Linked DNA regions of Schizosaccharomyces pombe. The gene in region 4 interacts genetically with the main gene of each other region. Each region holds a gene or a part of one and is shown on either strand. Other genes may lie near its edges.

Region 1 (6,763 bases), on a different chromosome or scaffold from region 4:
AGCCTCCCTTGGATGCTAGTCCTGTTTCTTCAAGGGCTAGTGGTGCCTTGGGCGAAAAGGGTCGTTATATAGCTCCTCATCTTCGTGCTGGCTCAGGGCGTGAGAGTGGTGATTCTATGTTCAAACGTGAACGTGATGATAGTGCCACTCTTCGTGTCACTAACTTATCTGATGATACCCGTGAAGAGGAACTTCGTGATTTGTTCCGTCGCTTTGGTGGTATTCAACGTGTATATTTGGCAAAGGATAAGGAAACTGGTCGTGCTAAAGGTTTTGCCTTTGTCAGTTATTACGATAGAGATTGTGCTATCAAGGCTCGTGATCGCTTGGATGGTTACGGTTGGAACAATTTGATTTTACGATGTGAATTCTCCAAGCCTCGAGATTAAGTTTCTTTTAATTATATAAAAATTTCTTGAAATTGGATAAAGGTCTACGTATATAAAAAATTTTCTTTTTTCTTCCATAAATCGTTCCCTTATTTTCACCCATGTATTCAGTCTAATCCCTCGGATTGTCTTAACCACCTTACCCGTTTCTGAGAGCTTTCATATGTTATACTTTTTAATGCTTGACATTGTTCAGGCTCTATTATCCCTAATTGCATTGGGTTTGGTAGAATGCTAAAATTTCCTTTTTTGGGGTTGTATCTGCGTAGTGATCGTCCCATGGTATGTCTCATAAATCTATGCTAAATTGGAAAGGATCCTTACGTTTTGTTCCTCTGCTTTTGCTATTTAAAAGAATAAAATTAGGTTTCATTTACTTATCGTTTGTTTTCTTTTCCTCTTTATACTTTTTATATTTGAAATGGTTGCCTCTGAAAAATTTTTGAAATAACTTTTAGTATTTTGTAGCAATATCATGAATGGTTTAAAGCTGTACACTTGCCTTGATGATTGGTCTTTTGGTACCTTTTTTTTCAGATTGTGAAACAAATTTTTACGCGCGAAATTAGATTGCTGGTGTACTTGACGAGTTAAGAAAAAATAAGGGTTTTTAAACTGACTAATTTTAACTATTTTAGAAAATTTTTTTGTACTCCATTGTTATAACTGCTCCAAAACCATTTGTTATTTTTTCAGCATGTAGTGCTACATGGAGAGTGTAAGGATTCGCAAAATCCATTAATGTTGTAATTTGAAGCAACTTTCTCGTTTGTGTCTTCATTAATTACACCAAGGCTTTCTAGGTTAAGCTGAAAGAAAAGCTAATTTTTTCAACTGACTACTTAAGCAGTTTTGACTTTACCAATTCGACTTTCATTATTACAACTTATGCTGTACATTCTTTTTTTTAATATCTATAATATTAAATATTTATGAGATCAAGCGAAGGCCCCTTAACTCAGTTGGTAGAGTGTGAGATTCCAAATCTCAAAGTCAAGTGTTCAAGTCACTTAGGGGTCATATTTTTTATAAGTTTTTATCCTGTGTTCAAAGGCATAGCAAGTTTTAAGAACACATTTGTCATAAAGATTTAACAATATAACTCTCATATCCGTTGAAATAGCTGGTTCACTTCATACGATAGTATTGACTTTTAATGACCATTAATCTTTGCTAAGACGGCAAAGTAATATATACTACTATTAATTACATGACAAAAAACAAACATACATCGACATATAAGTGCAAAACAAATTTTACTATAAATTTAACCTAAAACGACCAAGGCACCATTATAAGAATAAAATCAACGAAAAGTATGCTTAGTCAACCCGCTTTTTTCTATATGCAATTGAAACAGATGCAAAGCCGATGGGCGGAACCAGAAAATATCAAAACAGAAACAAACAAGAGATCTTAAAATATAAGTTAGCAGCTAATCTCTCGATTTAATGGAAAAGTGTATGTGTTTATTTATACCTGTTTTATTATATAGAGAACCCCAAAACAACGATATTAACATTACTTCCATATTTATGTCAAAGCGAAATAACATAAAATTGACATTTTTTAAGGTTTAGTGTTTACGGCCTTTGCCAATCTTCGTCCAACCCTCTTCTTCTTCTGCTTCGCCAGCGTTTGTGGCAGGAGCATCCTCAGTGGCAGGAGTCTTAGTCGCAGCGACCTCCGAATCAGTTTCGGAACTCTTTTTCTCACCGTCTCCTAAACGGATATCTGATACTTTCTCAGCAATAGCATCTGTTTTATCGGTCTTTTCAGCCTTATCAGCGGAAGGCTTTCTAGAAGTAGAACGCTCACGGTTAGCATTGTCCTCGCGACGGAAGCTCTGAGTACGCTTGGCAAGTTTTTCCTCAACACGTTGAAGCACGGATGTATTGTCTACGGGCTTGGCACCACCGAAAGGATCTCTTTTAGGCTTGGAAGATGTAGTAGTGGTAGCAGAGGGAGTAGCTTCGGTGTTGACGTTGGAGGAGGAACGAGGTTTTAAGTTAAGACGAGGGCGCTCAGAGGATTCACGTGGAGGAAGGGGTCCACGACGAACCCATTCACGTGGCTCTTCACGAACACGATCGGAAGGATCACGAGCAGGATCACGGAAACGACCACTGTTGGTACGTCTCTTGCCAAACGGAGATTCAGCAGGTTCAGCAGGAGGAAGAGGTCCACGACGAACCCAGTCACCAGTAGAGCGTTCTTCACGGGCAAATGAACGACGAGGCTCTGCAACAGTGATGCGGACTGGACGTCCCATCAAATCCTCACCGGATAAGGCTAAAGCGGCGCTCAAGGTATCAGCGGTCTCAAATTCAACATATCCAAAGCCACGAGAGCGTTCAGTGAGAGGGTCAATGACGAGGCGAATGCTAGTGACACCTTCGCCGAAAAAGTCGCCCAAATCGTTTTCTGTTAAGTCAAAACTCAAGTTTCCAACATGAGCTGTAAAAGGGGGTTCAGAAGGGATGGGAATGGCATCACGTTGGTAACCACTTCCCATTCCACCCTCGCGACGGCTTTCGGGAGGACTTCTAACTGACTCAAACGTGGAAGAAGGAGCATTGTATCCGGCGTCAGCAGAGCTAGGAGTAGCACGATACGTAGATGTGGTGCGGTCTTGGGCTAATAGATAAATTGAGTTAGCTAAGCAATTTCAAAAGATTAAATAGAAAAATGATGGAGCCCAAAAATGAGAGCCGAAAATTAATAGAAATTTTCGGATTCCTAAAAAACACCCCACTCCAATTCAATCCAAAATTTTCCATTATAAAAAACAAAATACTTACGCAAAGCTGGCAAATCATCAATATCATCAGCCCAGTTAGTCGAACCAAACGACTCGTCACCCAAAAAGGCGTTCAAACTCATTTTCGTACTCTGATATCGTTCAGCAAACATGCCTAATTACCTAAACAAACCTTTTTCGGACCTATTATTAATAACTCATGATCAAAAACACAACTTGCCCATTATGAAATATTTTCTTTTAGATCTTCACTTTTTACTAACAAGATCGTTTTCTTCGTCGTTCTCGACAGATTTAATATTTGCGATTCTTGGCGCGCTGGTCCACAAGAGCGTAGCCCAGTGATGCCGTGACTGCTCAATAGTAGAACGACTGAAGCATTCCCGCCTGCTGTATTTGCTAAGGCGAGAAAAAGGGAGAATTGGGAGACGTCTCTATTCCTCACAGTCATGGATAATGAGGATTAAATCATTTCGGTAAATCAAGCATGGAGGAATTTTTGTGAATGTGAGCATTATAATCGCATAACGATAAGTAGCGTGTTGAGCAAAGAGGATTGGATGGAAGTAGTTTTTTTATTGTAAATAAATCAATGGAAAATTGGATATGGAACCATTGTAGCGTTTGCAATTTGATGGAAAGTCTTTTTTTTGGGATTATATACTTGTGATAGGAGAAAATGATTTTCCTTTTTTTTTTTTGAAAGAAGTCCGTATTTGATGTCAGCTTTCACAAATCTAATAATTCCTATAAAATAATAGTTTAAAAAAAAGTTCTTGAAGTTCAATCAGAAAACAGAGATTTGATTTTGCGATAAACCAAAAGCAAAGATTAAAATTGGCTTTACGATTTGTTCAACCATGGTTTGACATTGAAGTAAATCGCTATTGAAAAAACGTATCATTGATAAATGATAAATGATTTATTATTGAGCTCGATCAACAAAAAACGAGAACGTTATAGTCTCAAGGGATGAATGATGATCAGTTTTGTACACCATTGAATTTGTTTTTGAGAGTAATAAACTTAAACTTCTCAGCGAACTGGACTGTTTGGACAGTGTTTAGACTTCATTTTTTGCAGATTCCTTTTCTAATATGGAATTATAACAAAACAAAAACACATTGGCTTAATTATAGGGGAAAGGAAAAGGAAAAGGACGCGTGCTTGCACAGAAATGAATCGATGTTTTGGATACAAACGTAAACAAGACAATAAGGTGGTGAAGCAAAATTGCAAGGAATTTTTCTAATCTAAATACGGCGATTTTGAAATTCATTTCTATTCAGCTTATCATCCTTTTTTCATTCACTGACACAGTATTATCTTTTAACGTTGTATGACGAGATGCATTAGTCTATGCTTAACAAGTTGTGTAATATGAGAGACAAGACAAGAAGAATTGGGAATTCCAGAATATGTGCAATTGATAATATCTACACGATTTTTAAAAGATATATCAAGTTACGAAAGTTGATCCATTGTTGGTACATTTTAAGTTCCCGCATTAGAGTTAAAGGGCCGCCGCTTCTGCCAATGTTTATCATCAAAGGCTGGTTGGGATAGTAAGAGAAAATGAGGATGATACAGTTTTCAATTGATATTCGGATGTTTATTATTTTATTATTATTTTTTTAGACAATTGTCTTTGATCTATATTCAATGTGAGCTGAGAGCTGAGTGGAGAACGAAAAATTTCTGAAACAATAAAAAATCCATTAAAATATATTAAAATCATAATAATGTTAGAAAAAAAAAATCGAAAAAATTAATCAAAGGGTTTCATTGACTTGGAGCAAAGATAAAGGAAGAATTTGAAAAGAAAGTAAAATCTAATAAAAGAAACGTGTGAATTTGAAATTAAAATGGAATGGTCTTTCTTTTTTTCTTGGTGGGACGCAGTCATTTATTTAATTACCGACCAGCCCTTTTTAACAATTAGATAACAAAGAAAACCGATTTATTTCATTTTATATTTTTTATGTCACTTGTTTTTTTGTTCAAATTCACTCTTCTTATGATTTCTTTCTTCTCAAGGATTCTTTATGTTCATTTTCTTTTATTTACAAAGAAGCATCCGCATAAAGAGGTATTGTTTACAACAAACAAATGGTTGCCATCCAGGTTGCGAACCAATCTAAAAATTTCATTCAATTCCTTTATGCCATTTCTAAATTCAATTATATATTTTAAAAAGGAATTTATAATTTAAAAGATTCTATAAAAATCGTGGCTTTGAAGGATTTCCCAACATGCTGGTTTCATTAGCCCTACACCCCCAAAATGTCATATTGACGAAGATCGAATCCTTTATTTCTAATTTTTTTTCTAACCGCAGATAATGATGAAAAAAAGAAGAAAGTAACATTTATAATAGTCTTCTTTTAGTTATAATCAGATTTTCTGCTTCGATTTTATTAATTAATGGAAGTAAATTCAAAAAAATGGATTTATCTTACTATCGAGGGATTGTTCCCTAAAATGCGTTTCCCGCTACTGGCCAGTCGTTGTTACCTTCTTACTACGACTATGGGATTCTGAGTATATATAATTATGACATGAATTAAACAACGGAAATTTAACCATTTACACTGCTATTGCTTTTTTTACTTAAATTGTGTGTTTATAACAGGAATTGAAACACAAATTTTGTTCTCTTGGTGCAGTCTGCGTTTTAAATTTCTTTAGCGGCAAAAGCAAACAGTAGAGAGAGATTTTAATTCCAATTCAATTTGAGCAACAGCCACGCCTTTTCTGCTCAAAATTATTTTTTTGTTAAAAATTTTCTTTTTCTTTTTCTTTTTTATCCTTTATCTATTGATTTTCATCTTTGGTTTTACGAGTGGTATTTGCTGGTTCAAATTTTAAGTGCATATACCGATTGATTGATTGATTTGTTGATTATAGCTTCACTCCATTCTTCGTTGCATCCTTTTTAAGTTTCTTTTTTATTTCACAAAAAGTCTATGCCGAAGTTCTGCTCGTGTTTGGTATTTCATCTACAGCGTTTGTGTATAGCATTTCCCAAGCATTCGACTTTCTGCGAATAATTTCAAAATTTAATTATCTCCATTTTTTTTCCTATCCACCTTTAATCTCCCTTTTTACTCGAATTTCTTTTCTATCTTGCTCAATAAAAAAATATTCCCTCATCATTGATATTATTCGATTGCCCAATCTACTTTGCGTTTTTATATCCCTCCTATTTCGTTCTTCCCTATTCTTTAATTTCCTAATTCCGCTTTGTTTGCATTTTCAAGACCTCCCTATTTGAATTAATTTGGGTATTGTTTGGAAACTTTCATATAAAATAATACCTTAAAAAGAAGTTGCATTGGAGATGCGCGTTTTGGTTGCTGAGACCGGAAGAGAAGATAATGTGTCAGTACATTCTAGAGAAGTGTCTGTGAACGGCAGTGATTCTGGTACAGGCAATGATGCCTACAAACTAGAAACAGACGATGAACATCCGCCTGCCACCCCTGTACGTGGATTATCCACAAGATCTCAAAAAAGACCCTTCAGACCTTTAACAATTCAACAAGATGAAGATGTAGAAAACGACACTGGTATGAACACCGAATATAATGATGACAATTCTAGCTTAGTTAAC
Region 2 (10,426 bases), on a different chromosome or scaffold from region 4:
GCTTAAGTCGCTTACCCTAGCCGAACCGCTTTCAACTCATCTTGAGCATTTATACTAATACTCTAAAAAGGTTCCTTTTATAAAAGAAGTATAGTTAAGGCTCTTTTTGTTTTCTTTTTAACCCGAAGTTGATGGCACCTACGTTTTTTTTATCCACTCATATATTATTAAATTGAGAATCTACAACTTAAAGAACTGGAATGTGATTTATATGGATGATTTGCTGAACTCTGTTAGTTTTTCGAACGCCTCTAATCCTCATAATGCATGGGGTAGTGAAAATATATCCAACTCGAATTCAGCAATTCCCTCAATTACTAACGATGTCAGTTTTTCAATGGAGGCATCAGTCTGGAAAGAAAATGCTCTCAATCTTGACACATTTAATTTGAAAGATATTAATGAAAAGTTGGATTACACATTTGGCGTTGTCAAGCCTCCTAAACGGATTTCATTGGCATCCAAAGATTATATAGGTATTACAGCTACCTCGGAAACCAATTTTAGACAATTAATCCGCTTAGGATACAATGAGAAAAGTTTAGGAGAACTAAAACAAGGAACCATTAGTCGTTTACTTAAAGAACATATGACTTTATGGAACCAAGAACGGTCTAATGTAAATCGAAAAAGCAATGTGCTTTTTTGTTGGTCAACAGCTTATCAGAAGCAGAAAAGGAAAACAGCAAGCTATACCAATTCACCTGTCACACCGCCCATCAATGACAAAAATATTTTGTTACCGGAACAGTCTCCTTTATCTAATTTTTCTACGACCAAGATTTCCAGTATAAATGTTCCTTCAGATATACTTGATTTTTCTAATTTATCATCGAATGAAATTCCCAAGGATTATTCTTCTTCTACGGCTCTTTTAAATAATACAGTTGCTGTTAAACAGGATCACAAATTATCTGCAAATACTTTCCTTTCTTCCCCAGTCAAATTGATTGAGAGGGAAAGCAACAGTTGTTCTACAATTTCAATAAATAAAGAGGATGAAGTTGTTCCAAAATCACCACTAAGTTTGGATCGTAAAAAAGTTGATGAAGTCGAAGAACATTCATCAATCGCTAAACTTGACTCTGAAGAAAAAATTAGAGAAACGAAGAAAAAAAATTCATCAACGTCTCTTTCCCCGGATCCAACCTCTGATAATTTTGAATGGGGTTCATGGGTCAGTTCCCAAGATACCTCGAAAAACTCATCGAATTTAGCTTCTGCTTCCGTTGATGATGTAAGTGAAGAGTCTCAAGTTGAGCCAAATACTCTAATTTTTCAGAATTTTAGTTCACCTTCTACTTCATTGTCAGCTCCTAAAGACACTCCGGCTGTTATTCAATCGATCAATACTTCGTTTCTTAATAATGAGAGAGCAGGGCGTGGAAATATAAAAACAGTTGACCAAAATCAACTAATTAATAGAATTGTTGATAAGCTTCCGGATCTTAGTTATCTTGTCGATTGAAAATCTTAATGATCAAAAGGTAAACGTACTAATTTTAATCACATAATGGCTAGAGGAGTTATTGTTATATCTATGCCCAAATGAATATTAACTTTATTGTGAACAAATGTTAACTTAAATAAATCAATTCTAAAAAGATGTAAGAGGAATTGCATCTTCAAACAACGTGTTGTGAATATACAAATGTTTACTAATAGATTGAACGAATGTATACCATTCTCTAGGGGATGAAGGCATGTCAGTTTTATCATCACGATTCCAACATGTGAGGTGAAATGGTTTAAATGTTTTACGTAATCGCGATTCTTCATATTCGCTGCATGAACAATGCAATCGCTTTTCAAACAAATACACTGGAACATGAAATGGATGATTGGGCAAAGTTATGGATAGCGGTAGAGTACCTCCAAAGGAAAATATCCCTCCAAGCTGGTATTTAGTAGACAATTTATAACAACTATATAAAGCAACCATAGCTCCTTGACCAAACCCGAAAAAAAATATTCTAGAAGATAATATACCGTAAGAGAGTAGATTGCCAATTAAATTTGAAATCATCGTAAAACTTTTAGAGAAATCGGCTTCAGATTGCAGTTCCCCGTTTTGATCAAAATGGACATCCTCTCCCCACATCCAATTGCCTCCAGGATTTTCAAAATCTAATGGTAATCGATATGGTCCACGTAAGGAAATATAACTAGTGTTGGGCAACGGAACGTTCTTTGCCATATTTGCAAAACTCTTGTGAGAATCTCCAAGTCCATGCATTAAAATAACTACATTGTGAACCTTGTCTTTCCCTTCAATAATCTCTGCGCATGCATTTGAAGGTAGAACACTGTTTAAAGAAGACATTAGATAAAAGAAATACTAAACCCCGAGGTCAACTATTGAGATTAAACTTCTTGCCATTAACTTGGTTCTGTGTCAACAGTTTGTTCCTGAGCCATACGTATTTCCCGAATTATTTGAGCTATTGCTTCTGGGTGTACGTTGTTTTCACAAAGACTGATGCAGAGTGAAAGCGTTGTTTTATCAAGTTCAGTTCCAAGCAATGTTCCTATTTCGTATAAAACTTCTATTGTCTCTTTGGTAGATTCAGACATAAAACTCGATACTTTATAATAAACTAGTCTAATTATATATACTTCGTAACAAGTTGGTAATGTTAAGTTTACTGGAATAGGCGTCTCGGAGTAGCTCATTATAATCCTCTAAGTAATAAACAAAGTACTTCGTGGTGCATCTAGCTTGTGCTTGTAAAACGAAACCGAAAGTAGGCTCAACCTCAGATTTGAGCAGTCAAAATATTGATGAAATGTATCCTCTCAATGCTAATTCTTATACTCTGCTACGGAAATTAGGATCAGGTTCATTTGGGGTTGTCTGGAAAGCACGTGAAAATGTGTCTGGCGACATTATCGCTATTAAACAGGTAAGACTAATTAATTTTTACTCTTCTTTAGTATCACAAAAAACTTACAGTTGCAGATTGATTTAGAAACAGGTATTGACGACATTACCGACATCGAACAAGAGGTATTTATGTTATCGAATTGCAACAGTTCCAATGTAATTCAGTATTACGGTTGTTTTGTTGACGGATACACATTATGGATTTTGATGGAGCATATGGATGGAGGATCAGTTTCGGGACTTTTGAAAATGGGAAGGTTGAATGAACAAGTAATTTCAATCATTCTTCGAGAGGTCCTTTATGGGCTAAATTATCTTCATGGACAAAACAAAATCCACAGAGATATCAAAGCCGCCAATATACTACTATCTTCCTCTACCGGAAACGTAAAGCTTGCTGACTTTGGAGTTGCCGCTCAACTTTCGAACGCTGCTTCGCGTAGACACACGTTTGTTGGAACGCCATTTTGGATGGCACCGGAAGTAATACAACAAACAAGTTATGGTTTAGCTGCTGACATTTGGTCTCTTGGAATTACGGCTATTGAAATGGCTAACGGAATTCCGCCCCGCGCTACAATGCATCCAATGCGTGTCATCTTTGAAATTCCTCAATCCGAGCCTCCAAAGCTAGATGATCATTTCAGTCCAACATTCCGTGATTTTGTGTCCTGCTGCTTAGATCTCAATCCTAATATGCGATGGTCAGCTAAAGAACTCCTTCAACACCCATTCATCAAAAGCGCAGGAACTGTGAAAGACATTATTCCTTTGCTTGTTCAGAAGGAGAATAAATTATTTGATGATTCGGATCAAAGTGTATTGGAAGAAACCATAAATAATACTTTAAAGCCCTTTGAAGAACCAATTGCTGAAGGAAATGCTGACATTGAGGATTGGACATTTGAAACTGTAAAGAAATCTGACTCAACTGTGTTAGGGAATACTAGCATTCCTAAAAATTCCATCATCAGTTCACAAAATAAAGAGGAATTGCCTTCATCAATAAAATATTTAGAGAAAACTATAATGAGTGATCAAGCGACACCGCATCCTTTTTCCAAGTCATTGTCTGAAAAAGGTAGCTCTTATCATAAATCGTTGACTTCCGATTTTGCTATGAAACATTATATTAAGTCCACCATACGATCGATGTTATTAAATGATAAATTGTCAGCAACGCAGCGCTCATCTTTAGAATCTTTTTATACATCTTTCATTTCTTTAGATAAAAATCTGTCCTCAAAATTTGTTAACCAAATTACTCCAGACAACAGACTGCATCACAAAAAGCAAAAGCGGAGCCCCATATCACAACTACTATTTTCACGGTGGCTTGAAGAAACTGAGAAAAGAAGAAGTCTAAATGGATAGCTTACTAAAAACTCGTAAACAACCTGTTTACAGCATTCACAATTTTGTATTTAAATGAACTTATAATGGCATATTCTACTATAATTTAATCTACATAATATATATAAACACATCCAAACGAGAACTATTCGAAATCAACTTGACACTTGCTTTAAAGCATTTTGTACATTCCAGTTATTTCCAGACAAATATTGTTCAGCCGTTTGATAAGACACAGAAGTATAATTCATGACATAGGTTATTCTGGTTGGTTAGCAAAATTCTCCAAAAAAAAACATACTTAGCCTTTCTCTTAAATTCATCAGCATACTCAATCCACTTTCGTTTGACCACGTCCCATGTGGACCCCTGAGATTGCGCATTTACCATCTTCGCTTTGGAATGTATTAAAGCAGATACTGGTCGGTGATCTGATGCCTTCAGTTCGTACCTGGTATAGTTTTCTGCAGAGATGTAGTCGGGACTTCCACGATAACAGATACGATCACACCAGGCAGGCACACGCTTTTTTTCACTACTGTCGTACTGCTCACTATGAACGTCGTACTTGTAAGTTGGGGCAAACGTGATTTCTGGTTCAGTAAATGTTCTCAGACGAAATCCGGCATTTCTTTTTCGCTCAACAAGAAGCTGATCGCTTTGGAGCAAAGTTTTTATGTCGTTTTTTTTAATTAAATCTAAAGCTTTAGGTCTCAATGTGTTGATTCTATAATTTAAATCACCATGCAAAACACAAACTTCGTGATCCATAATTAAAGAGCCATCGCCACCACCAACGAATGTATTCAATTGATCAGTTTCATCATTTTCAGGAAAAAGAGAAGCATTGTCTAAAATTGTTGCCAAATCATTATTTCTGGCTGCTTTATTGGATTGACCAGCAGCCAAATGACAGTTTACTATGCAATATGAAGTATCATCTACCAGAAAGCGAACGACTATTGCACCTTTGTTACCATGCAAACCACCTAGTCCCGTTTTTACAGTTGTCGATTGTAACATCCGAATTTTGCTTTGTAACTTATTTTTTACAAAAACACATGAGAAAAGACCAACCAAATTTTCACATACCAAAACCTGATAATCATCGTTTGAGCTTACCCGCATCATTTCAGATTCTAATTTTTCACGCCATAAACGATACTGACTGGAAATATTAGCACTGTTAGACGAACCACCTTTGGAGCTCGACTTTGAAAGGATGCTTCTAGCTGTGAGTCTTTTATTCTCCAAATCAACTAGCTCTTGAAAACCAAACACAACTATATCTGGGTATCCATTGTCTCGAATCATCATTGGAATCATACTAGCTCCAATAGTATCACTATCTAGATCAGATGGCTTTGAAGCTCCGGCATTCCAGGAACAAATAAGTATAGACACGTCAGTAAAATTACTATATTCTGGGAAGCGGCTTCGCATTTCGGTAGCTAACCAGTCACCCATCATTAAACCATCCCAAAACTTGACAACTGAAGAAGCCATACTAACAACTTGGAGCCTTTTAGCTTTCCATACGCTATTCACATCAATACCAAGTATAGTGGTAGCTCCATTGTGACTTGCTTTATGACCATGCCAACTTTTTAAGAGGCGCCAAGGACTCTCAGAAACATCAAATACGTAAATCATGCCTGTCGTGTAGGCTGCCCAAAGTGTATTTCCAACACCAACTAGTGAACAAATTCTATAGAATGAACTGCTAGTAATTAGCTCCAAAAAACGGTATTGGGTTTTCGAAAAGATGGATATTTTTCCATCAACGTGACCATAGAAGACCAAATCCGTAAAGTTTGAAATAGTAGTGCCACAAGAGATATCACCTATCAAACCAGGTGGAGTCATGGGCTTCGCCAAAACACTTGCCGACTCATTTTCTGAAGTTGAAGGATCATATACATAAATTGATTTCCCAACAACAACCCATAAAAGCCGATTATCTAAAACCATAGCATGAGTGGCATGAGGAATGGTGCGAATACTATGTGGAGTAGACTGTATACTTAAACCCATAATTTCATCTTCCTGCCATACATACAGTTTTCCCATATCGTCCAACGTCCACATTTCATTTTTATAGACCATAACGTAAGTAATAGGACAATTGGAAACAGACTTCTTAGTAACGATATGATGATTTTGAACATCGACTTCCCATAACATCCCATCTCTCGTTCCAAACCAAACAAATCTGCCATCGTCAGAGTAATTCTCCGGGGATGATTTAAATGATAAGGACGTTACCTTCGTATCCCCTAGAGGCATATGCCAATGACAAAGACCAGTAACGGTGTCATAAACACGAAGTCCTCCGTTTCCAGCTAAAACAAGGCGATCACCACTAACATCAAAGATTCTAGCTTCAAAATCTACGTTAATTGATTCAACACCGTTAACAAAACAGGGCGGGTTCCTCCTAACGCTAGAAGTATCTGGTATGCTTCCTTTTAAAACAACATCTAATTGCGATGACGAAGAGGAACTAGCAGCAACAGAAGGATCACTTTGCTCAGTAGAAACAGGCATAGAGACAGGTTTGTTAGTAGCTAAGGATTTCACCCTCGGTGGTGGTGGAGGAAACAAAGGGGATGGTTTAGAAGATAAGTTTTCAGATGTTAAAGCTGGACTAGACAGTTCTGATAAAGTGTGACTAGGACGGGGAGGTAATCTGGGTTTCTCAGGTATTAAAGACATCTCTGATGCAGGAGCAATATGAGTGTAGGGAGACGACTGTAAACCAGTAACAAGACTGGCGTCACTTTTAGTAGCCAAATTCTCTATTGGGGAAGAAGAGCGCTGGGTAGAAACTTTACGCAGCGGTGGTTTTGGGGGCTTTCGGGGAGATACATGAAGCGGTAATTGTTGAGATATTACCGCACGCGATTGCTGTATAGCCTCAACAGCAACTGGCTGTGGAGGTCTTGGAGAGGGAATTGGAGGAGGAGTTTCCAAAGACCTGTCTCCAATGTTCAAAACAGGAGGCGCCGTCGATATGGGACACTCCTTTCCAAAGGTCTGGCTAAATGGATCATGCAAATCAAAGGAGGGCACACTTTTACTAGAATTGATAACGTTTTCTTCTTCTTCTTCAGAAGACAGAACCGAAGAGGCTTCGGAGTGAGTTGGAGACTGAGAAATATATGCCTTAACATTTTTTAATGGAGATACAGATATCGGGCTTGAAGAACCTGCTTTCGAAGAAAAATTGGGTTTAGGGGGTGGTATTTGATGATTATTGGTATCATCGTGTTTCATTAGATCATTTCCTTTGGTAGATTGTACAGATGATTGAAAAGAAATTTCAGGCCCTTTTTGTTGAGGTCGCTTAAGTAATGGAGAAACAGAAACAAATGAATTAGATATAGTAGGAGAAGATGGAGTAGCTACGTGAGATTCAGAAGAATCACTAGGTAGACGATCTATTTTTGAAACATCAGCGTGGGGGTTTGAAGGATTTTTAAAATTAGAAGCTAGCCTTTGAATTGAACCACTAACTTTTCGTCCAGTCGAACTTCCTATAGTCGATGAGACTTGCCTCGGCGGTGGAATAGGTCTTGCTTTAAAAACGTTTGGCTCAGAAGTGCCATTTTTACAACCTTTTACAGTTCTTCTTTTAGCAGTTTTTTCGTCCAAATTAGTTAGGTCACCGGTACTCAATGACTCGAACTTTGATTTCAATGATAAAACCGAAGGGGGCAACTCGGGTTCATCTTCATTCACATTGCTGAAGCCTTGGCGAGAGGCCATGTTCCATGATTACGACAATCTTATGCTTTAAATCAATTTTTTAAATAAATCACCTTTTTTAAATACTTCTAAAATCTATTAGGTGCTGTTTGGACCTTTTGCGCTTTTCAGCTAATTGTTGGAAAAAGACAACCAAGACACTGCGTGGGCTGACCTATTATGAAATAAACAAAGCCTCGTGCACTCAAACACACGCATCAACAATACTCCAAATAATCATTTTTACAGAAAACAAAAGGGAAGATGATGTAGAAATTCGCATAATACAAATTAGGAATTCCAAAAAACTATCAAATATTTTTTAGGCATTTGTATTGCTTAACTAAATAGTTTACTTCACATTTATAGAAACAATTTTGAAAGCCATTCTCAAGGCAATGAAAGATCATATTGTCATGTAGCTAAATATTTGTAACATATTATTAAGCATTGACTATAAACACACATTGCACAATTTTATTTCAGAAAGACACAAAACGAGAAATTTTAAGTACTTATGCAAGAAATTTTATAAGATACAGAAAATTTATTCGATATCAAAATTATATAAAAATTGAGCAACTTATGAAAGCATATGTACTATACGTTGAATAAAACCACAATAAAAGAGTGTATAAAGGCATAGAAAAAATAAAATAAAATCATATAGTTAATTGATTGTCTAAAGAATGTAATTTATACGGGAGGCAAGATAGACGTTTGACATTATGTATTAGAAATGAAGGACCATAAAAGATGATAGTATGGTTCACTAGCAAACAAACCCAAATGATAATTGGGTATCAAGTTTCGTTATATTTTAACATTATCTCTAACGTTTGCGAGAGCTGGTAGCCGCCTTTAGTCGTTCGATTTCAAGTTCAATTTGTTTTATTTGAACATGCTGAGCTTCCAAATCTTTATTTAATGAGTCGCGTTCGGCAATCAAGCGTTGTTCCCATTGTCGAAATCGAGTTTCTTCTACGCGCACTTGTTCTGTAAATCTTTTTCTCAAATTTTCTTCTTCTTCCTTAAATTTCGCATTATCAATAGTCCGCAGTTTAGGTTCTCCATACTGGCGAACTTTCATCTGCTCTTGTCGATATTGCTCATACAACTTTTCTTCAGTAGTTTGAATCAAATCAAGCATACAACTCCGAATTAAAATATTCCTAAGCTGTTTAAAGTCGCAGTGTTCTTCGTTCTCAATTTCAACAATTCCCCATGGGTATTCTCTACCCTTAACGACCCTACCATCAGGAGTACGGATGTCATCTTCGCTTCCAACAATCGCGAATGGCATGCAATTAATGATTCCTTGAATTTGTCTGTGAAAAACGGGATCGCCCTCATCCATATTAGGTTTATAAACATTGACTTGATGGTATTCTAAAACTTGAGAAATTCTAGTTTTATACAGAGCTAAATCCCTTCGAGTATACATATCGGCTTTAGCTATGACAGGAATTAAATTGACACGCTTAGAAATATGTTTCATAGCCTCCAAATCCATAGGCCGAACACCATTTCTTACGGGACGCAAAAAATATAGGCAAGCATGAATACGCATATCAATGATCTTACGACGATCTGGCTGCTGATCTTGTCTCATGTACGATTCATGCTGGTCTTCTATAAATTCAACTACCGACTCCCAACATCCTGAATTATTGATAAAATCCCCAAAACCAGGGGTATCAATTACTGTCAACCTTAAGTGGAAATTTTTTTCTTCTAACTCAGCTTTTGTAATCTCTATTTCGACCGTTTTCTCAGCATGCTTCGCACGAACCTTTTCCGGGCCCATATGTGATTTAATTGTTGTTGAAAAGAGTGTATTACAAAATGTTGTTTTACCAAGACCCGACTCTCCACAAAGCATCAAAGTGAAAGCTACACCATTTCGTGAAACTATTTTGTGACGCTGATTAGGTAAATCCGCAATTCCAACGAAGTTTGTCTCTTCTTCATTCATGACGCGCAGAGATGAATAGTATATTTCCTTTGTTTAACGGTCTGTAAAATATTGACTTAAAAGCTTCCAAACTAAATAAAAAAGTTTCCAAAAAATGCAAGAGAATTGTTATTAGTTTTATTAAAGCATAAATGGTAAAAAACGGAAGGTCTAAGTAAATAGATAATCGAAGCTTCGTTGCAATCACTCGTTAGCGATATAACTATATGATCACTATACCTCATTATATTTTTAACGGGCTTTCGTCTCGTAAATATACTAACTATCATTACTAGTTTGCTCATTAAATTTCATAAAGATTCTGAATGCCAGAAATTATGCTTGGCAAATATATAAAAACCTCTATACTACGTAACAGAAATAGATTGCTGGGAAGTATGCATTTAAGTTATTGATTTAATGTTCATTATATTGTTCAAGAAAATAGTTACTACACAGGTAATATGATGATCAAAATCGTTGTTTTA
Region 3 (6,493 bases), 1.4 Mb from region 4:
TTGACATTGGCATTGTACTGCAAACCAGCAAAGCCAGTACCACGATAGCTGACAACACAGTAGACCATTCGTTTCCGGGGTTTCACCGAAATCGAAGAAAAGAAAACCCGATGTCGTTGGAGCAAGCAAAGCACAGATTGGTTGGCAGAGAACCTTGAAGGTCTTAAGAGACTATGCATAGTTTGAAAGATGAAATTAACTAAGCAAGTTTTTAATGAAAGAGAGGAAAGGTACTACAGATGGCATGTGCTCAAGCAAAAGTTAGGATATTAAAAAAATATTAAACTAAGGGTAGAAGCACTTCAACTGTTTTTCATGAACAATATAGAATATTACTATAATTTTTTGGAAAGAGCCCTAGCTTCCATGAATAGTCTTACCCACAATACCCTGTTGTTTATCTATTTTCTTTTACTAAACCAAGCTGTACATACTAGATACCACAAAGAAATACCTTGTATCTCCTTTCTACCCCTTTGAATGGACAATGAAGCCGAAAATTTGCCGTTTTTAGAAGGTCCTTTTTTTTCAACTTTTATCGAAAATTAATTTTTTTTCAGTCGTTTCAAAGGTCAACCTACAAAACTAATTCTTTTCGTTAGCAACCGCTTTCTTATCAATCTTTGCTTCTTTATTTACTGTTCTCTGCTAAATTTTCGTTGATTTATTTAAAATACCTTCTAAACCATACTTTTTCTTACTACCCGGGTTTTGACAAATTTTTTTCTATGCAGCTCTATCCGGCAAATGTTAAGGGATTGAGATATAGTGAATGTTGCATCTTAACCGCTAACCCATCGGTTCAACATTTTGTCATGCATGATGATGCTGGTGTTCCTCTAACGTACAGCGTTTCCACACTGCACGCCGAACTTACCGACCACCTATACCTCCCAACCACCAGGAAAACAGTCGCAGTAGGCAAGAAAACGCTTTTTGTAGTGCAAAAAAAAAGATTTAAGCCGGAAACATAGCAGAATAGCAGAAATTTGATATTTACTGTTATCATCTCCATTATTATTTGGATTAGTTTTCGATTGTCCTTTCATTCATCTAATAACGCTTGTTTTTCTTTTTTCTTTTTTGCATTCTCAGTCTTGGTTGTTTTGCTATTTATTGCGTTCCTCGGTTTCTCCCTATTAAATATTTTCTTTTCATTGTTTTTACGGAAATTCTCATTTTTTCATCTTAGGGGCTCGTTGACTCAGCCTGCACGACAAGGAAAATTATATCCGTTTCGGAAGCACAACGTGTGTGTTGAAAGTCTTACTTTTCTTTTTTATTTTTCTGTACCCTTTCATTGAACTTTAGCCATTTGTTGCTTTGTTGAATTTTGGCCATAAATAGTTTTTCAACTGGGTTTTTATTCGACCTCCTTTCATTATTCATTTCATTTTCATATCTATCCATTTCTATCCCCACTAAACAATTTTGTGTTTTTAGGATTTCCCTATTCTCAATCCATAAAATAGTCACGATTCGTTTTCATTCAGATACCCGGCTCCTTATTTTTTTTTTTTTCGAAATTTTATTCACTCGTTTGATTTCGTTGATTCATTTCTTCCGCCTTTTACTCATTACTTAAGGGTATTTGCTTATTAAACGTTTGGTCTTTTTTTTTGCCCATCTTTTTGTTCATACAAAGTTTTGTGACATTTATATAATATTTAGTCTCTTCGTTTTTGTGTGGGTTACCTTTTTTGTTTTATTCTTTTTCTTTTTTTTTTCTCTTTCTTCCCTCTTTGTTTTTTCTTCTGACCCTATTTTATGCCTTATTATTATTTTGATCAAGTTTCAATCATTTTTTCACAAAGATTTCATATTCACTTTACTTCTTAGTTTTTTTCTTTTTATTTGAAATTTCTTGGAATCTTTTTGCCTTTTTTCTTTTAACTTGATCTCTCTTATTTAACGTTACTTAGAAAAGCTTCTTTTATTTTGCTTTTCCTTTCATTCTTCGCTCCTTTATAAACCGTGTTCATACTTCTTTTGCTTACGTTTTGCCAATCTTCCCAGCAATTTTACTTCTATCTTGATTGTTCTTGTTGTTGGATATTTACTCTTTGTTGATAGCGGTATATTTTATTTGCTTCTCACTTTTTGCCCGATTGCTTTCCTTTGATTTACCTCTCCAAAAAAAAACAAGTGTCTTTTGTTTACTTGTTTGTATATTTGTTTATACTCTGCTGATTGAAAAGTTGATTGTTTATTTTATTTTTCCATCTGCAACCATTTCTTTTTTTTTGAAAAAAAAAAAATCGCTAACTGATTTTTTTAAGCATTTCGAATACCTTCGAAGTCTTTTTATCGATACTTTTGACGATTTCTTCCTCATAAGCCTTGCCCTAGACTTTTTGTTAGCTCGGTATTTTTGCATATTTCAGTCATCTTTTTTTCATTTTCAGTTTGTGTTTTTTGCTTCACAGTTGTATCTGTCTCTCTTTTAGCAACTAGAATTATTTGTGGTGGTCAACAGTTTACCCTTTGCTCTCGTTTTCTTGAAGTTACAGTCTTTCTTTTATTATCTTCGTCCAGTATTCTAGGTTGTTGCCCTTCTAATTCTTTCGCGTCAAGTATTTGGATTTTTCTAATACTTGCTAACAATTTTTACTGAATTTTTTATTTTTCTTCATTGCCCTTGCTTATTTTTATTACTTACACACTTTCTTTTTAGTCGACCAACTAGGTTTCTAACTTTTTACTCCACTTATTAACTATTTCGTGTTATTAAGCTTGAAGCCTCATTTATTATCGTTTGGGGTTTATTTAACAACTACTGCTATTTCATTTGTGTTTTACTTTTAGGCATCTATTGCTTATTTTGGTTACTTTATCAACCACTTTGTCATTCTTTTTTCTCTTCTTTTCAATTACCATTATATATAATTTGCAAAATGTTTGTGGGATCACCGAGCGCTATTGAAAAGCCTTTATCGTTATCCAGTAAGACCAAAGTCGGGGACGAAACCGAGTTTACTGAAGATGCGCTACGTGGTTCATCGTTGGTTCCAACCGGTATTCTGAATGGAGATGATGAATGTCATGCTCTTCACATGTCTCCTCAGGCTATTCACAGCCAAGCTGGGAAAGCTGAATCTGACGGTTTACCTACTTATGCATCTGTGGAAAAATCCACAACTCCGATTGGTAGACTCCTCTCTAACCTCAACGGTGGATTAGCCTCTGCTCCTCCTAAGGTTGGATTCGGTTTTCCTAGATATTATGCTTTGCGGATTGAGGATTTACCTAGGGACTTAACACCCAGAGAGTTTTTATGTACCTTTTTATTCGCTACGAATGTAGTATCCGTCGAGCTTAATCCTGTATCCGTGGATAATGAAGTTGCTCATGGATTGGCGGTGTTTTCATCCCGAGATGCTGCTGCATCTGCTAGAGACACTTTGCTATCTAGCGATGTTTATTCCGCGTGCAGCATGATAATTTTAGACAATTATCGAAAGGGAAGTCAAACAAATCTTAGCGACGAAACTGAGGGCTCTGAGAGTAGTGTTTCATTTAACAGACTGTCTCGAAACCATTCTCCAACTCGTCCACTGTTAGGAAATCGTGATCTTTTCCGCAGGTCAAGTAATCATGTGTCAGCCAGTATGCCTACTGCAAATCATTCGGAATCTGCTTATCGTCATTCAAAAACACCTTTGGGTGATAGCACTTTTCAGGCTCCTAACAATGGAGGTAGTTTGCATTCCGATAGGTTGTGGTCTTCTTTCCCTGTTTCTTATCCTTTAACACTCGCGAATGTGTTAGCCAAGGATGAAGTTGGTTCACCTACGTGGTCACCCACTCCTTCCAAAAGTAGTACCAATTTGCGTCAAGACGGTGTTCCTCCGATTTTGCGATTTAACTCATTATCTATTAACACCAACGTGGCGCGCAATTACCTTTCATCTGAAAAGGGTTATAGCGCTCATACCCAAAATTCTAGTGCTCAATCACCCCATCCTCGTGTCTTTTCGGCAAACAGTGCATTCAGTACAACAAGCCCTCCTCCCTTGACACCATCAACATCAAGAGACTACCCATTTTCAGCTTCTACCATTTCACCTTCCACACCATTTTCGGCTTATTCCTCCAGTCATGGAATTCATCAACGCATCCCTGCTTCTACCCCCACGAATACCAACCCTGCTGATCAAAATCCTCCTTGTAACACCATTTATGTTGGAAATCTTCCTCCTTCTACTTCCGAGGAAGAGTTGAAAGTTTTGTTTTCCACTCAAGTTGGATACAAAAGACTTTGTTTCCGCACTAAAGGCAATGGCCCCATGTGTTTTGTTGAATTTGAAAACATTCCATACGCCATGGAAGCCTTGAAGAATTTACAAGGTGTTTGTCTTAGCAGTAGCATTAAAGGTGGTATTCGTTTGAGTTTTTCGAAGAACCCATTGGGAGTGCGCTCATCAAGTTCATCGCATAACAACCATAATGGAAACGTTCGTAACCTTCACTCTGGTTCCATGAATAATTACAATACAGACTCTTTGCTTAATCATACTGGTGGACATAACGAAGTCCACGCCAGTCCCAGTTGGGGTAATAATCTAATGTATGGCAAATAGCTCATCTAGCATTTTCTCGTCTTCATTTTATCATTATTCATCAATACCTTGCAAGGACTTTAGGTCCAAATTTTTTAAGCATATTGTTTCTCTTTTTTTTTTTTTGAGTTTTGCATATTGATTCTTTGTTAATCAAAAGTTGCGATCTATTCCACTTTGACTGCATGCAACTTTAACCATCTGTTAAGCTTAATTACAATTTGTCGATTTATGCGATCTGTTTTATTTCACTCTTATATAAGATGGGTACTTGCATTGTTTAGTTGTCATTAGGATTTATCATTTGCTCATCATTTCCATATACTTCTGCTACACATATCAATTTACATAATAATATCGACTTTTGCTTCTAAATGAACCCATCTTAAATTGCTAAACAAGTACTGTAACAACTTGGTTAGATGTATTTTTATTGTAACACCCAACTTAAGCTTACATACAAGAATTTTTAGGATACATTGATAAGCAAACACTTAATCCTTTTATAAATATTAGTATAGTCTAGGTGAATAAAATATTTCCAACAAAAACTGTATAATAGTAATCCCGTCCTTTCCCTATTAAGTTGAAATTGATTTACTTTTTTTAAAATTGCGAGGAACTTTAGGCATGCTTCGTCCTTTTCACAGGCGGCTGTTTTGAAGTGCTGTAATATTCTGACTCCGATTCTGACTCTGAAGAAGTTTCAGAAGTTTCCGAATCCAAACTTTGACGTTTCGCAGCTTCATCTTCGACATTTTTGGGTTCTGAATTGCTATCGGCCAACATAGCTACCATACAGGTAATTCGATTGCCTTCTGGAATGTTATGCTCAATTACTAAGTTCCAATCTTTATCCCATATACATACTGAACCATCCGAGCTTGCAGTAATTAAATAATCATCAACAGGGTAGACAGATTTGACGCTAACTTGATTAGAAAATTTTGAATTTTTAATTTGTTGAGTATAGAATATAAAAAGACACTTACCGTTTCTTATGCGCCGTAAATTCATGTAAAATCTTCCCATCAGAAGTATCCAAAACCAGTACTGTTCCATTATCTCGTCCAACTATCAATTTGGATTGATAGAGACACAAAGCGTTCAATTGAGATTTAGAAGAGAAGCTGAAAAGGGAAGTGAGATCCTAAAAATGTATTAGTAATTTATAAAAGAAGGAGGAAAATTGCATATAGAAAAATGCATAAATTCTTACCAATTTAAAGGCATCAATGCCTCTTCGTGACATAATAACAAATGACGACTCATTCAGGAAAAGAATAGATTCTGGGATAGTGCTTAAAGGTAAAACTTTACCTCCTTTACCTCGTACAAGGTCCCAGAGCCGCAACTTTCCATCACCTCCAACTGTTAGGGCCAATTTTTCTGAAGGGTGAACTGCTATACCAGTGATGCCCTTATGAGAAGATGACTTAAGAGTATGAACCAACAACCATGAACCTTTAGACCACATACTGATTTGCCCGTTATCATGACATGCTAAAAGGTGATTTTTAGTAAAACACATATCTCGGATACATGCATTGGCGATATCTGTAGGAACAGAAACATCGGCTATTTGGACGTTACGAGTGTGATCGAAAATTCTGAAACGATGTTAGATTATGCTTAAAAGGATAATTAAATACAAGGAAGGAAGAATGAAACCATTTAAGTCCAGTTTCATAATTCCAGTTGCAAATAACTTACTTAATTGTTTCATCACTGCTAGTAGAAGCCAAGTAAATACCGTCGACAGCTAACGCGGTTAAAGCTCCTTCATGAGCTTCAAAAAGCCACAAGGGCTTGCATTTTTTCCTCTCAATGTCTGCATCAACACCGTAAATGAGGTGAGTATATGTTCCAACTACAAAACGGAGCATCGGTGACTAAAGTATGACAATTGAAGCCTAAATCCAGTTATACAAAAC
Region 4 (8,067 bases):
CCTCTGGATCAGACCACATCAAATCGCAAAATGAGCCTTCATGGGGAATTTCTTGAGCACGCGCAAGAATACGAATCTGATCCAATGTGCGAACTTCCGGAGATAATCCACCATGCACGCATAAAATTTTGTTATCGATAACCGCTGCCAAAGTCAAAAAATCAAAAACTTGGCAACAATATTTCCAAACATTTGCATTTCCATATTTGGTTTGACACTCATCATAAAACCCGTAGACTTGAGTGATCTGGCGACTTTCGTGATTACCACGAAGCAATGTAATTTTATCTGGGTACCTTGCTTTCAAAAGCATAAATAACGTAAAAGTTTCTAAGCTAAAATAACCTCGATCCACAAAATCACCCATAAATATATAATTTGTGCTTGGCAATTCTCCACCTACTCGAAACAGTTCCAAAAGGTCGTAAAACTGACCATGTATATCACCACAAACAGTAACGGGAGTCCGCACAGGCTGGATATTGGACTCCTCCATTAAAATAACTTTTACCATCTCACACAATCGTTTCAACTGGTGTTCTGGAAGATATTTACACTTCCTTACTGTAGCGATCCATTCATCCAAGTCAAACATCGTTGTAGCACAAATTATTCAAGGATCTCTTCTAGATTATTAAACACAGTTATTTCTCAATACTTTCCTATTTAGAAATTGGCTTCCTAATTAAATATGTTGTTTGCGGAGAGTACGTAAGTTAGTACGTTGAATACTTAAGAGGGGTGTTTAACGTATTGTAACGATTAACGGCGTACCAAGTCTTTATCAGATATGGATGTTTGGTACATTCAAAAGTCGTATGAAAAAGTCTACATGTGGAAATGACCTTTTATATACAAATTTATATAGTCCGCTGATTAAATTGGGATGTCGTCGAACACATTTTATCCTTATTGCTAACGTCAAATTTTGTTGCAAATTTTCTTAAATTACCGAGGTGGGATTGCTTTAAATTATAAATACTTGTAGAGTTTTAAACGATTGAAAGTCTAGGTCATGAGGCGAAGATGAGAGAGTAGCATAACGAGAAACGTTGTCTGTAGAACGACAATAAAAGTGTCGTTTCCATAACCTTTAAATATAGTAAGCGAATTTAGGATCAGTTCGAAGATTGTTGCAAGCGTAGATCCAACTTGTGAAAAACTTGCTTACTAAAGAGCTTTCAAAGTCATGAAGAATATATGATATCTTGTTGATATAAATGGCATCTCCGTCGTCAAGTATGCGAAACCGTAGGCAAAAGAAAAATCGTACAGAGAAGGTTACCGAAGCAATTGCTATTAATTGTTTTTTATCGAGTCTTCCGAGTTAACAGAATAAAGTGAATCTCTCATGCACAAGTTTATCAACTCTTAGAACTACTTATAGCTTTGATTTTTTCCTCAAATACTTATGGCCATAATTTTCCTTCTGAATAAATAAATTTACTGGAATTCAACGTAACAAACAAAATAACGCTATACCCTTATTGTGGAAAATATCGTAAAATATGATAAGCAGCATTACGAATACGCTTGAATATCCTATGTCAAATTGTGCAAAAGGGTGATTGAGTCCCAGTACCACGACATCCCGTCGCGTCTCATAGACGTAAACAAAACTTCTTTTTTCTATGGAAGGTATGTGTGCTTTTCAGAAATCATGGAACAGTTATGGCTTGAACATGATTTAAGTGAAGAATGGATTCCGCAGCCACAAGAACAAGGGTCAGACAATTCTAGTGAACCACCAACCACATCAAATGTAAACAATACTCAATCTACAGGTCGTGGTAGTTCAGGAACTTCGACAGAGCATGGAACGTTTAAGAAAGGAAGAAATGATGCTCCGGATGTTCCTCAATGGAAACAGGTGAATGCAAAGAACCCTGTTGCTCGTGATATTTTTGCAAGGTTGGATTTGGAAAATATGTTTGAAGAAAGCAGCAAACAAAGCCCCCCTTCAAAGTCTCCAACAAAAAATCCGTCCAAAAAGTCCAGTAATAACTCTTCTAGGCGTAGTTCTTCTTCAGTTGGTAAACTATCTAATGTATCGAACATGCAATCTTCTCCTTCTAAAGATCCTTTCGTTTCACAGGATTACGAAAAAGAATCTATCTCCTCTTCTCAGTTTAGCAAAAAATACTCAGAAGGAAGCTTGAAAAGTCAACAATCTAATACCAGGTCTAACTCGGTTCACGAAAAGCAAAATACGGACCATGCTAGCAATGCATCGTCATCCTCATCCGTTGTTTCTTCTCCCTCCTTGAAGCCCAATAATACATCCCCCCTTAAACTTTTCCAAGGAGCTAGTGATCCGTTTACTCGTGAGCATTTGAATCAATTAACTCAAGATGTAAAGTCCAATTCATTTGAAAATGGGGAAAAACAATTTTCACTCCCTGAACCACGAAGACCACAAAAACCTATGCGTACAACTGAACGAAAGGCTAGCCTCAATACCAAAGATCTCTATCAAGAGGTTGAAGAAGTCATGGCAAGATTGCGAGGAAGAATGCCTAATTCGGGACGAGAATCTACAATTTTTCTTCCTCGAAAGCTCAGCGGACTTCGTGAGGAGGAGGAACAAGATGAAATTTCAGTTGAAGTAAGTCAAGAAGATAGCTCTAATGCATTTCCCTCCTTAAGTGATCAACTTCATTTAAAAAGTCTTCAAAGTATGAAAAGGGTTACCTCAATTTTCAATGATAATGATGATTCCTTTCCATCCGCATCTTCCTCCCCTCAACGCCAGGCATATATGACCGATAAAATGCCACTTCGGGAAATTGATGTTGGCTCTTCACAATCCTCTTCCAAGACTGCCCGATTAAATAGCTCTCCCAAATCAACGCTAAAAACTTCCAGTGTTAAAACCAGAAGAAGTCACTCTGCTCAAAGCTCAAGAAAAGTGTCTGATTATCCCAATATGGTGGTTATAACGCCAGCAGATCTTCCTGAAGGCATAGATACAACTCAAGGCTCCATGGAATTTGACAGGATACACAATCGGTGGCGGAGAAAAGGTCATGATTCAGACTTGGGCTTTGATTTTGAAACCGACGAAGATGCTAGTCTTTCGCATCCTGAGCGTACAATACTGTTTAAAGCGGCATCCACCAGACATCAAGCGAACAATGATCCAAACAATTTGGAGAAGCAACAACCTCATTCCTTTCCTTTGCGTAAGCAAAATGTTGCTCAATCCGAATTTCCTAAGCATTCATTAAGAGACAATAGCGAAAACGCTCCGCAAATTTTATCTTCCTTTCACGATTTATCCTTACAAAATGAGAGCTTTGATGAAATGTTTAATGGCAGGTATGAAAATGGGTCACCAATTCCTTTTATTTCTTCAGGTTCTGGATTGAAAAGTAAAGCCGACAAAGATGCTGAATATAGTTTTTCAGTATCTCGTCAATCCATAATTCAAATTCTTTCTGATGTTGAACCATATGAGCCTTTCTGGAAAAGGATTATACAATTAGACATCAGTAGACGACATTTGGATTCCTTGATTGGACTTTCTGAACTCTGTCCCTCTATTGAAGAGCTCACGTTGGAAGGAAATGAAATTGCTTACTTAACAGGATGCCCCGTTACGATAAGAGACCTGAATGCTGTTGAAAATCGATTGTCAAGTTTGACTTCATTTTCCAACCTATTAAACCTACAATATCTGGACATATCATATAATCAACTAGAGGACCTTACTGGTCTTTCTTCTCTAATTCACCTTCGTGAGTTGAAAGTTGACAGTAATCATCTATGGAGTTTAGATGGGATTCAACATTTGGATGGATTGCTAAAATTAAGCGCTTGCAATAACAGGATTAAAGAATTGTCATTTACGAATTCCAATCTTCATCGTCTTGAGGAATTGCTCTTGGGAAATAACGAAATAGAAGAAATCGAAGAAATAAGTTCGCTTCAAAACCTTATGGTTTTACAATTGGACAATAACAAACTAACCAACTTGAAAGCTAGCCAACCAATGATTCATTTGCGAATTTTACGCATCAGCAACAACGCCATACATCAACTTGAGGTAGATCAATTTCCTCATTTACGAACTTTATACATGGACCTTAATCGATTTAATCGTCCCCCTGACATCCGTCGACTAAAACGCTTAGTCAATTTTTCGTTCAGGACTCAAGATCCTGAAGCCTCCAATTTTGTCATTCAACCCTCTTTAGATATTCGAAATCTATACCTATCGAATAACACCTTCGTTACTCTTGATTGTAAGCACATGTTTCTGGGAGTGAGGTATCTGGAGCTTGCAAACGTTCAGCTCAAAGAAGTACCTAAATACATTGCGACCAGTATGCCCAATTTACGTGTATTGGACTTATCACATAACTATATATCAGACATAGAGTCGCTGAAACCATTGCAAATGATCCACCGACTTTACTTAGTGGGAAATAGAATCAAAAAGATGCGAAATTTATGTGATATATTGGCAAACCTGAAACAGTTAAACGTACTGGATCTGCGCATGAATCCTCTTAATTTCAACATTTATCCCGTAATTGACGACTCTATTTATGAGCTCTCTGCAGCCTCAAAATACCAACAAAGTATCAACCAAAAAGGTCATCATAGAAAAGAAGACCCGCAAAAGCAATGGCAGGAGAAAGAGCTGGCCTTTAGTTCCACTTTGTCTGAGGCATGGAGAACAAGAAGAAAAATGTATGCTGAAGCTATTTTATTGGCATGTCCACACTTAGAATGGTTGGATGGATCTGATGTTTCACAATCATCTCGCGCTGCATTCACCAAATCATCCAACTAGTATGACTTGTGAAGATATAGCTTGAAACATTTTTACCTTTCAAATAGCAAGATTGTTTCGCTGTTGTGTAAAGGTTAATAATCACAATACATAATACACCATAATACTCGCCATTACCATAGTGTAAATAATAATTCGATTTCTGGATGGCACATACAAAATGAATAAGCATAATGAAACGTGAAGGTCGTCTAAAAATATATATATATTAAAAAAAAAGAAAAAGAACCCTATTGAAAGAATAAAAAATAAAAGAAAACCCCTCCAACTCTTCTTACATTCAACTAGCTTAAAACAGATAAATTCTATTGAGAAACAGTGACATTAAACACACACATATGTACCATATAAGTATCAACTAAATAAAGGAAAAAGGTAAAGGGGGGACGGTTAAAAAATGCTTTGAAAGTGAAATTAGAAAACATGTAGAGATGATAAATGATAGATAAAACTCGATTGGTCGATAATTTACGAGCGGCCCCATGAAAATCTGCTGGGCTTCTTGTCGTTATTGGCTTGAACATCATTAATCGACCATGGATTTGGAGCTGGAGCTGAAGCGGGATCTTTAAAGGGATTTTCAGGATCTCTAAACGGATTTTCAGGAGCCTGTTCTGCAGGCTTATTGCGCATAAACGGAAAGCGGAAGCCCGAGTTAGATTTCGGAACGGGAACGGGCTCACGAACAGTTGGGGCATAGGAAGACAGAGAACGACTATCGTTGCTAAAAGTAGGCTTCAATTTTGAGACAGAGCCTCCACGCTTGAGACCATCATCCTCGGAAATGGTATCGTACATAGGCTTTTCGGCAGAATAATCGCTGAATTTGGGAAGGTCTCCCTTGCGAGAAGAAGTAGAAAAGATATTGCTGCTGTTTTGCAAAGAGTACGGATTGTAACCCAAGCTGCCAGAGGTGGCGCGACGAAGATGCTTGGCCTGTAACCTTGTGGCTTGTCTGCGTGCAACAAGGAGTAAAAGCAAGACGATGAGTTGAATGCCGACATTGGCGAGCACAAGCCATGACGGCCATTGAATATGGGGGACAAAAGTGATGACACAGATAACGAAAGCAATGGCGGTGATAAAAATGTTAAAGAATGTTATGGTTCCAATGACATTGAAGAAGCCGGGAGAGCGGGCAATGGCACCAATGTGGGCGAATATAGTCATAATGGTGGATATGAGACAGATGCAGGCAGACACGGGAACAATCACCAAGCCGTAGGAAGCTCTTTGACGCACAATAACGGAGGTACGAAATCCGTCCTTTGCATGTTCATCAAGGTAATCCGAGTTGTAACCAACTAAAGGCTTGCTGCAATTTGAATTTAAGCAGTAACCGAAAACGCCAAATCTAACGTCTCCATACTTTCCTAAAGTAAGATTGTTTGCAAGAGGAGGAGTACATATAGCTAAGACGAAAAAGACAATGGCGATAACCAGTAAGATAAGGGAAGGAGTAGCACTACGAATCCGCATTTTTTAAAAAAAAGCGGAAAAGCTTTGGAGGGTGATTTGAGAGAGTAGTTTTTGAGCTTTTGCTAGCTACCAACAAAGTTCAACTTTGCACGGTTAGGATTTAAAGATTTCCTTTTTGTTCCTCTACAGCGAGAAACGATCAAAAAAGAGATGAAATCCGAGGGGAAGGCAGAAGTTGAGAAAGGGCAATTTGGTACGTAGCAATGAACGAAAAGGCTCTCAATTCGACTAAAAGTGTTTAAATTACCAATTCCTAATATGGAAAAAAGAAATAATTTGTCCTTGAAGTCGCTTTTATGTATTTGGCGGAAAGGCGATTTTTGGTGGTGAGATATGATGAGGTTTTTGTTGTTGGTTGTGGTTGAGTTAAACGTTGTTTGACTTCATTCCCCCTTTGCGCCACACTTCAGTAGTACGGTACGCTACGCAACTGAACGCTAAACATTGCTAAGGTAAATTTGTACCGAGGTAGAAGAATGCACACGGTGCGTTACTACAGTATATGGGTAGAATTACGAAGGTACGGGAGGAGCAGAATGTTCACAAGCAACAACTCCCATCTCCTTGAAAACATCGTAAAAAAGCGAATTTGTTAGTGTAATGAGCATGATGAATCGTAACATTGGCTTCCTATCCAGAACATTGAAGACGAGCGTTCCTAAGAGAGCGGGTTTGCTCAGCTTTCGAGCTTATAGTAACGAAGCAAAGGTGAACTGGCTTGAAGAGGTTCAAGCAGAAGAGGAGCATGCAAAGCGTAGCAGTGGTATGTGAATTGTGGGAATAGAAATTTATCTTACTAACGGGTTTATAGAATTCTGGAAGAAAGTGACTTATTAGTATGAACATGAGGAAGTGAAGAATTTGTGTGGTAGCTAACATTTGCCAGCATTGGTGGACCAGCATTGATATTGGCTAGTGCCAATGCGTATTATATTTGTACGTAAAAGTGTAATGTGAAGATTTGCAACGACTAACAAGAGATAGATTGCAAGCATCAAGAGCATGCCAAGCATGTTGAAGATACGGACCCTGGTTATAGGTATGAAGAAGATAGAGAAGAAATGAAAGGAAGGGACTAATGAATGGTTTAGCTTTGAAAATTTGCGCTTCAAAAAGTATCCATGGGGAGACGGTAGCAAGACACTTTTCTGGTAAGATGAGAATGAGAGAGAAGAGAGGAAAGAAGGGAGAGATTATGTTTGTATGAGACAAGGAAATTTACTAATGATATACAGGAATGATAAAGTCAATCATTTAAAGAAGGATGATGAATAGGCATAGCGTTCTTTAAGCCTTTTTGCACGACTCAATTAACCCCCATACCATGTAGCAAGCAAAGAAGAACGAATAAGGTGTTGGAGGGATGCATAACGGAAAGTGTGTTTTTAGCAATGCTAAAAGGTAATAGTGAGACCATACGGGTTTGTATTGCCAATAGCTGTTTTCTTATCAATAGTGACTTTCAGCATTGGATTCGTTATTTGTTTAGCGACGTACAGTGAATAATCATTGATTTCTGAAAAAGCAGAAAAGAGAGATGAGGTAGTTGAAGGAGGATATGGAGACAGTTGCATACTATGTAAACAAAATGAATAAGTGATGAGACTGAAAGTTGGCATGCGAAAAAGAGAACGAATATATATACAAATCATTAATATGCTACAAGTAGTTCACAGTCTGTTTCTATCCTTTTGACTTTTTTATTTTTACTGTTTAAAATTATATTTTGCATTAGTATATATGTAACATTAAGATTATAAGGAATTATTAATCTCAAGATAATAATGAGT

What was found.
Region 1: of cdc11 (region 4) and sce3, extra expression of one rescues a mutant of the other (dosage rescue), as found in Schizosaccharomyces pombe (2 studies listed by BioGRID).
Region 2: mutations in cdc11 (region 4) and sid1 are lethal when combined (synthetic lethality), as found in Schizosaccharomyces pombe (2 studies listed by BioGRID, with this or other methods).
Region 3: of cdc11 (region 4) and scw1, a mutation in one rescues a mutant of the other (synthetic rescue), as found in Schizosaccharomyces pombe (2 studies listed by BioGRID).

The regions. Positions count from the first base shown.
Region 1 is NC_003423.3:1,773,524-1,780,286, forward strand, and holds sce3 (translation initiation factor), read right to left. Parts: upstream 3,447-6,763; 5' UTR 3,375-3,446; coding exon 3,371-3,374; exon of another isoform or gene 3,334-3,370; coding exon 3,323-3,333; exon of another isoform or gene 3,282-3,322; coding exon 3,191-3,281; exon of another isoform or gene 3,027-3,190; coding exon 1,966-3,026; 3' UTR 1,646-1,965; downstream 1-1,645. Other genes in the region: tif307 (translation initiation factor eIF3g), read left to right, coding at 1-389; SPOM_SPBC18H10.05 (WD repeat-containing protein), read left to right, coding at 6,491-6,763.
Region 2 is NC_003424.3:1,982,971-1,993,396, forward strand, and holds sid1 (PAK-like GC kinase Sid1), read left to right. Parts: upstream 1-2,727; 5' UTR 2,728-2,786; coding exon 2,787-2,903; intron 2,904-2,959; coding exon 2,960-4,258; 3' UTR 4,259-4,392; coding exon of another isoform or gene 4,393-4,501; 3' UTR 4,502-4,538; coding exon of another isoform or gene 4,539-8,005; 3' UTR 8,006-8,264; downstream 8,265-10,426. Other genes in the region: SPOM_SPAC9G1.07 (Schizosaccharomyces specific protein), read left to right, coding at 212-1,237, 1,283-1,468; SPOM_SPAC9G1.08C (phospholipase), read right to left, coding at 1,598-2,323; putative mitotic spindle organizing protein Mzt1, read right to left, coding at 2,380-2,574; inp53 (inositol polyphosphate phosphatase), read right to left, coding at 4,393-4,501, 4,539-8,005; mitotic septin Spn4, read right to left, coding at 8,817-9,959. UniProt on the Schizosaccharomyces pombe protein: Has a role in the septation initiation network (SIN) required for cytokinesis.
Region 3 is NC_003421.2:670,582-677,074, forward strand, and holds scw1 (RNA-binding protein Scw1), read left to right. Parts: upstream 1-2,894; coding exon 2,895-4,580; 3' UTR 4,581-4,670; downstream 4,671-6,493. Other genes in the region: pus3 (tRNA pseudouridine synthase), read right to left, coding at 1-179; SPOM_SPCC16C4.21 (uncharacterized protein), read left to right, coding at 729-974; p21-activated protein kinase inhibitor Skb15, read right to left, coding at 5,184-5,487, 5,552-5,709, 5,779-6,169, 6,273-6,445.
Region 4 is NC_003421.2:2,046,146-2,054,212, reverse strand, and holds cdc11 (SIN component scaffold protein cdc11), read left to right. Parts: upstream 1-1,609; 5' UTR 1,610-1,660; coding exon 1,661-4,798; 3' UTR 4,799-5,083; downstream 5,084-8,067. Other genes in the region: serine/threonine protein phosphatase PP6 catalytic subunit Ppe1, read right to left, coding at 1-595; protein mug33, read right to left, coding at 5,267-6,277; cox13 (cytochrome c oxidase subunit VIa), read left to right, coding at 6,878-7,040, 7,089-7,113, 7,164-7,213, 7,262-7,316, 7,369-7,428, 7,513-7,552. UniProt on the Schizosaccharomyces pombe protein: Essential for the onset of septum formation. Involved in the organization of astral microtubules during mitosis. Acts as a bridge between sid4 and the other SIN proteins mediating their association with the spindle pole body (SPB).